Linked DNA regions of Rhinolophus ferrumequinum. The protein of the gene in region 2 purifies or fractionates together with the protein of the main gene of each other region. This does not show direct contact. Links are inferred from orthologs where the notes say so. Each region holds a gene or a part of one and is shown on either strand. Other genes may lie near its edges.

Region 1 (3,743 bases), on a different chromosome or scaffold from region 2:
TCCCCTCCCAACCCACACACGCCTCCTTTTTACCTAAGGTGGGAGATAAAGCTGATTTCCTCCTTTTCAGGTGTTTGCAGAATATAATGAGCATTTCTGGCTGAATTATAAAGGAGATTAATTTCAATTTGGCTACTGGAAATTCGTGGTTTAATCATTCTCCAGGCTTTTCTATCTCTCTATCTTTTTATCTGACAATTCTGGGAGATTGAGGGGGAATTTTGGTGTTTTCCTCCTATCATTTCCTAAAGTAATTGCACTTTTTTTAAAAACTAGATTCTTCACTTAAAGTTATCTAGTTGCTTCCAGTTCAATTACAACACATTTAAAAAACGGGTTACTGTGCTGGCTAGCAAGCTAAGTTAAAGTAAAACTTCGAAAGGGGCCAAGGTCTAAAGTTCGCACATTCTTGTGAAGTCTGTTTTGTTTCCACCGAAGGAGACCCCATTATCCATAGCTCTACCAATCACGTACATTTATTTCCTTTAGAGCCTCATGAATGAGGAAAAAGAAGTTCAAGTGAGGGAAAATGGGTTCAAATGAAGGTCAGATACCCAAAAGAGTTTTCTGGTTACTGTGTTGCTGGGGTGGAAAAAGTGGGGACAAGGTAACCAGATGTGGGTGGCCCCAGGAGGTTGTGCGATTCCAACACAGTTGGTCTTGGCAGGAAAAGAGATGACGGCCTGTCTTTGAGACACCCAGTTGACACAGCCTACTGTGTGCCAGGTGCTGGGGATACAAAGAAAACTTGTGAGATGCTTGTGTTGAAGGTGCTTTAAACGTAGCAAAACATAGTCTCGGCCCTGAAGGCCCTTGCAGTCCACCTTTTAGGTTGCATCAGGTGGGTGCAATCGCGGGTTCCCCCAGCAGTCTGAGGGCGTTGAAGGAATACTGGGGGGCGGGAAAGAAACGCTGCCCTCCCGTCCTCCACAGTAGGCCAGCCCTGCAGGCGAAGACAGACACGCCCTCTCCAAAGGGCAGACCCGCCTCGAGGAGGGCGGATCCGGGCAGGGCTGGCCGCCGGGCCCTCACCCGACCCCCGCGGACGCGGCCCAGCGCGGCGCCCGCTCCTCACGTGTCCCTCCCGGCCCTGGGGCCGCCTCACGTTCTGCTTCCGTCCGACCCTTCCGACTTCCGGTAAAGAGTCCCCGTCCCGCACCTCCGCGCCCACCCGGCACCGCCACGCGGCGCCTCTCTGTGCGCGGCCCCCGATGCGCTCGGCTGCCGCAGCTCCTCGGGGCCCCACAGCTACCATCGAGCCTCGCCGCTTCGCCGCGACTCGGTGGCCCGGGCGGCGCTCGTTCCCGCGGCCGGTGCGGCGGGGCGGGCGGGGCGGCAGCGACGCGACTCCGGGCCCGTATCCCTCCGCCGCCCCTCCCCCGCCCGGCCCCGGCCCCCCTCCCTCCGGGCTGCGCTCGCCTCCCTCCGCCTCAGACTGTTTTGGTAGCAACGGCAACGGCGGCGGCGCGTTTCAGCCCGGCTCCCGGCGGCTCCTCGGTTTCAGCGGGCCTCCCCGCCCCTTCGTCGTCCTCCTTCTCCCTCTCGCCGGCCCGGGCGTCCCCCCGGCCGCGCCAACCCGCGCCTCCCCGCTCGGCGCCCGCGCGTCCCCGCCGCGTTCCGGCGTTTCCTCGGCGCGCCCGGCTCCCGGCTGTCCCCGCCCGGCGTGCGGGCCGGTGTATGGGCCCCTCACCATGTCGCTGAAGCCTCAGCAGCAGCAGCAGCAGCAGCAGCAGCCACCGCCGCCTGCGGCCGCTAGTGCCCGCAAACCCGGCGGCGGCCTTCTCTCGTCGCCCGCCGCCGCACCGTCGCCGTCCTCGCCCTCAGTCTCGTCGTCCTCGGCCGCGGCTTCCTCCTCCGCAGCGGCGGCGAGCGCAGGCGGCGGGCGGCCCGGCCTGGGCAGGTGGGTGTCGCGCCCCAGGCCCCTCTGCTCCGGGCCCGAACAAGCCCGGGCCTCGCGTCCCCTCCCCCGCGGCCCTCACAGCCGTCCCCGCCCCGTGACCCGCTGGGCTTGGGGGGGTGGGCTGGGGGCCCGCAGTGGGGGTGGGGCTCCCGTTCCGTCTGGAGCCTGGGGGGTTCGGTGGGGGGCGCCGCGGGATCCCTCTGGGAATGTCAGGCCGTGTCCAGCCTCCTGCAACACCCGCACCCCCTCCCCCAAACGGTCAAGATGGAAGGACTGGGCAGCCGCCTCCTCTCCATTTAAGTGTTTGGGAGCGGTTTACAGGTCGCAGCAATTGTCAGCCCCGGTTCCACCTTCCTTAGGCCTCCTCCGCCCCCAGTGGGGTGTGCTTGGGCAGCGCACCCACCCCCAGCTTAAATACTAATGTGGAAGGAAGGGTCTTTAGGGTTGGTTCCGTCTTCCGAAACTTGCCAACTCCCCCATTGGGGAATAACGAGGGAGGGGGAAAGTTAGGGCAGCGCCCCCTCCCTCCCCGTTAACGGGGCAGCCACCGGGCACATCTGGAATCGTTAGGGTCTGTCCAGTGCCCTCAACCTCCCCCTTCCCTGCCCTGGGAAAGATCGAAGGACCGGGTTGGGGTGGGTGGGCAGTGGCCCCCCCCGCACCCCTCCCCATTTAAATCCAAGGCGGCGGCGGGGGCTCCAGAACTCCGTGGAATCGTCCCGCTCCGTGCAGCCTCCCGCAGCGTTCCGCCCTCCCCCACCTGAGGAAGGGGTGGGGAGTGCCCGGCCCCCTCCCGGCCTCCCTCCTTCCCCCGCAAGGCCTCCCCGGCGCGGGTGGTGGCCGAGCCGCATTGCTGTTCCGAGGCCGCGGAGAAGGCGCCTTTGAATAGTGGTGGGCGAGGGCCGGCCCCAGGCGTGCGTCAGAAGCCCGGGCCGGCCTGGGGACCTGGCGTGGTGGTGCTAGTGCTGGTGGCGGCAGGGAGCTGGCACGCTGCGCATTTTGTATCAACCCCCGCCCCAGTTTTTGAAATTTCGAGGGGAGAGGGATTGCAGCAGGAGACATGGTGGCAGAAATGCGGGTGTTTACTTGCGTCGTCTCCCCATAACCCAGGTTTGTGGTAGACACTGAAGGCTCGGTGTCGTCTCAGCTAACCGGGTCTGACTGGAGGGTGTGTTTGTGCGGGAAGGCCTGTGGGGCGGTGTGTGTGTGTGTGTGTGTGTGTGCGCGCGCGTGTGTGTGTGTGTGTGTGGCGGGGGGGGGTTGTCAGTTCGTATTTCACGAACCAAGAAAATGCTTAGTGTTCAAAGCAAATGTCAATAGACTCCATTCCATTGTGGCCAGTGTCCTTAACTTGGGGAGTGCCGCCAGCGCTCACCAAGGGCACGCAAGTCCATTTCCCCTGTGCCCCAGCCCATCCGTGCTGCCGGCTTTGCCATGCCTCCCGTAGGCCTAGGTGGGGTTGACAGGGTTGGTGACCAGGGTCCTCCTCAAATCGACATCCTGGCCTTTAGAAGGTGGGATAAAGGGATTTTCTTTTCCCCGTACACTGAGTTTTCTTTTTAAAAACAGGTTTTCAGCAATCCATTTCCAGAGAATTTTCATTTATGGCAGGAGAAGTTACCCATCAAAATGAATCTGAGCCGATTTTTAAGGAATTCTGCAGCCTTCAATGGGGGGAATGGGGACATTGGGTTTTTTGACTCCTCCCCCCACCTCGCCCCGTCAGTTTTTCCCCTTCTCAGAAACACCTACAAAAAGCTACTTAGCCAAACTAATTCAAATGAAATGGCTATTTACCCAGTTCTGTCCACTAAGGAGTCTATAATAGCTTCATTTTCTCTGT
Region 2 (3,743 bases):
AGGCCTACTCCTTTTTAACTCCTTTAACATTTCTTACCAAAAATACACAAGCTTTATTAATTTGTGCCATATATAAAGTCTTCTCCAACAATATGTTTAAAATATTTCTTGAGTCTCTTACTTTTTAAAAAACTGGAAATAAATTTGCTCACAAGCAAATCCAGATCATCATACACACAGAGGTATATTTCGAAGTCTACCAGAATGGAATTAATCTCCTAAGCAGATAGTGGTTAACAGTCACCTAATTTCAGTTCAGGGCAGTAAATGGTATTCTGTATTGACAGGTTTATATTACGATCAACAGTATCGCGTAATTCACACCAGAAGACTTGTTTGCAAAGTACTAGAGGATGAAGGAGGCAACCTCTAAAGATTAAATGATATCATTACTGTCCATCAGGCATGTAACACTTCCTGTCTCCCTAGATCCAAATTGTGACTGATAATTGCTCCCCTCCTTAATTAAACTGAAACCTGCACTGCAGTTTTACATCTCAGAGAAAATATTCCTTCTATCCCTTCCCCATTTAGATTTGAAATTATATTTCTGCATTTTAAATAGTACGAACGAAACGTAGACTAGTTGGGAGGAGCCCCATACGGAGTTAATTACACCACTTCCCGGACTGTAGTTAGCAACTGACAGTTTCACACCCAAAACAGTATCGTCATCTCCGGCGAAAGCTTTGTTTGCAAAGGCAGCGCATTTTCTGTAGCTGGATCTGCAAGTTGGCCTGTTTTATTCTGAGGGGAAAAGGGGACTGTGGAAAAGGGAGTAAGCAATAAGGGAAGGAAACTAGCCAATGATTTGGACCCCCTAATTGTAGGACAATAATTTCTTGCTCTCCCTGTCGCCTCACCCCACCCACCCAAAAAAACCGCACACACATACACCAAGTCAGCTCTCTGTGACCATAAACACAAACGGGTTGGGGCTCTGCAATCCTATCTGCGCAACAAGAGCAGGGAACGAGCTCCGCGGGTAGGAAACAAAAGGTACTCCTCCTATGAGGCCCCAAAGAGAAACCCTTAACCCAGAAAGTCTTTCTTTCCTCCACGACTCGGAGGGGTTCCAGAATCACCCACTCGTTACCGACCTACAAGGCCTTACTTCAATCAAGCAGCTGCTGGTCCCCTTCTAAACGGAGCCCTCCACTACTGCACATCCCTGCCGCCCCCTATAGGGCCGCCTCGTACCCTATAACCTCCAACATCACCGTAAGTCCTTGCCGCCCCCATGGTCCCACATTCCCTCGTCTTCTACGGTATAAAGCTCCTCCGAGTACTTGGCCCGCTCCCTCTACAGACCCCGCCGCGCACAGCCCCATATTCAGACGCCTCCACCCCACAGAGCTGCCGCCTGCCTTCCTCCCCAGGGTCCAGCCAGGTCTTAGGCCTCCGCCTCAGTGTCCCCCACGCCGGCCGAGAGGCTTCCCGCAGCCCCGACCTCACCCCACTCCCCGCGGCTCGGGCCTGAGTCCTACCACCGAGGCCACACCCGCTCGGCAACCTCGGTCCTTTATTGTTGACTCGAAGCTCCCAAAATGGCGGCGGCTCCTTCCTCCTCGGAAACCTCCGCCCGCCCCCAACCGGCCCCTCTCTGCGGCCTCCTCCGCCCCCGCCCTCGCTCTGCTGTAAAGGCCGAGGCCCGAGCCGCCCGCGCCCGCCGCTCCACCCGCCGGCCGGCCTTACCGCCGTCGCTGCCCGCTTTCAGGGCTCCGCCGAAGTCACCGCCCGGGCTGAGCTAACTCGGCTCCTGAGCCCCCTCCCTCGCCCGCCGCCCCCCTCCCTCCCTGCCTCGCTGCCGGCCTCCGCATGGCGGCGGCCGCGACTCCTCCTCCACGCAAGATGGCGAGAGCTCAGCCACCGCCGCTGTGCCCGCCAGGGCGTCACGGCCTCTGCGGCTTCGCGGCAAGAGAATAGGGGCCGCGGAACCTCTCCCAAGAGAAAATAGAGAGCGGTGCTCTCACACCAACGGGCACCCAGCGGGCCCAGAACTGAGGGAAAGTTGAAGGGGAAGTACGGTTTCTTCTCAGAAGGGAAAGGAGGGCTGCTTTTTCCACAGCTGAGGAGAAACGACTAGGGAATGGTGACTGCGAAGTCCACCCAGCCTTCGCCCGCCCCCCAAAGTGGAAATCGAGAGTTGTGACCAGAGAGGATCTGCTTATTCCTGACCCAGGACGCGTTCGGAGAACGGCCTCTCCCGGCAGCGAATCGGGGAGGGGAGCGCTGACCTGACATCTCCCGCGGGCCAGGGAAGCTGCTGCAGGACCAAAGGGGCCGCGTCCGTCCAGGAACATGCAGAACTAGTGGCCGTGAGACGCCGGCGCGCTCGAGGGAGGGGGCCGGAAGGGGGCCCGGCGGGGACTGAAGGACACGACGAGGGGGAATTGCGCTGGGGCTGCGCCGGGAGGGGGTGGGGGGAGGGGGATGGGGTCCTAGGGCAACGACCTTCCTCCCGGCCCCAATAGGCTATCTTCAAAGAAAGAGGGGGCGGGGAAGGCCGGACCTCCCGCAAAGGAAAGGAAAGCCGCTGAGGAGTCGGTTATAATGGAAATAAGAGTTCTGTAGGGACATGGGGAACCGGAAGGCCGAGGGTGATTCTTTCTCCCGCCTGACCCTCACTGAAGGATATTTATGTATTTATTCTTATAAATACTTTTTATATCCTAATGTCTCCGTTTCCCTTAACAAAAATAACAGGAAAATTGTGTTCCAAGTAAAACAAAAATTCGAAGCTAGAAAGCTGTCAGGGAAAAGAAAAACCCGGGCCTCACCCGGCTGAGAGACTGAATATATAGGACAATGGCCAGACCGTGTGTGACTACAGGACCCCGACCCACAACCTCTGCTGCAAGCAGCTGGTGAAGACAAACAACAGCCCCCGCAGTAATCCGCCGAGAATGGGCAGGAATCAGTCATTGACTGCCAGCTTCCCCAATTTTTGCCCCTGCTTCCAACTCGGGACCAATCAGAGAAAGCCAAATATGTTCCCCAAACCAATCACACGAGACGCTTGGCTTCTAGGTACCGTAGCAGGCCTCTAGCTTCCCCAGGCCAACACACTCCAATCAGAGCATACGTGCAGCTTTCCCCTTTTCTCGCTGCCTGCCCTGAGTGTCCACGAAACTCAGTGTAGGTGGCTGGGTTCTTTGCTATAGCAAACTGTTCTTACCTGTTGGTCTTTGTTTATTTCCACACTGCCAATGGAAAGGTGGTAGAGAAATGTGAGGTTATTTTTGAGTTTAAAAAGACTCCCCCTACAATTTTTTAAATTCTAAAGTTGTAGCATGTCATCTCCCAACCAGATTTTAAAATACCCACTCGTGTAAGGGAATAACCGTACACCTTGTGTCCATCCTAGAGAGAGGTGGCTGGCTAGTGGTTGGCTCCTTTAAAATGTTAAAGTGTGAAGTCTTGTTTTCCTGTCTTTCCAAGTTGCAGGAATGTGAAGGGGAGGAGGGCAAGAAGTGAGTGGGAGGGAGAGGAGCCTAAGAATTTAAAATCAGGCTACTCACTGCCTGGTGGGATCTCTCCCTAGAGCACTAAGAAATGAGACCCGGCAAAGGAAAAGGGTTTGCATGCATAAATAAACTGTTAACTTCCAAAGGGGCCTGGTTGAAGTCCTGACCAAAAAAAACTGAGGGGGCAACTAAAAGTAAAATATGAAATAGCTGCCCATTCTCACCTAGGAATCCTGCCAGGGCTAAAACTTTTAAAGATTCTGTGTAATGTTCTTA

Evidence for each region.
Region 1: the proteins of DDX6 (region 2) and ATXN2 purify together in Homo sapiens (affinity purification with mass spectrometry; 6 studies listed by BioGRID and IntAct, counting the BioPlex papers as one, with this or other methods). This does not show direct contact. The link is inferred for Rhinolophus ferrumequinum from reciprocal best matches to the Homo sapiens genes DDX6 and ATXN2.

The regions. Positions count from the first base shown.
Region 1 is NC_046308.1:6,922,558-6,926,300, reverse strand, and holds the start of ATXN2 (ataxin-2), read left to right. Parts: upstream 1-1,559; 5' UTR 1,560-1,691; coding exon 1,692-1,900; intron 1,901-3,743. UniProt on the Homo sapiens protein: Involved in EGFR trafficking, acting as negative regulator of endocytic EGFR internalization at the plasma membrane.
Region 2 is NC_046294.1:88,089,377-88,093,119, forward strand, and holds the start of DDX6 (probable ATP-dependent RNA helicase DDX6), read right to left. Parts: upstream 2,397-3,743; 5' UTR 2,238-2,396; intron 2,229-2,237; exon of another isoform or gene 1,696-2,228; intron 1,585-1,695; exon of another isoform or gene 1,456-1,584; intron 1-1,455.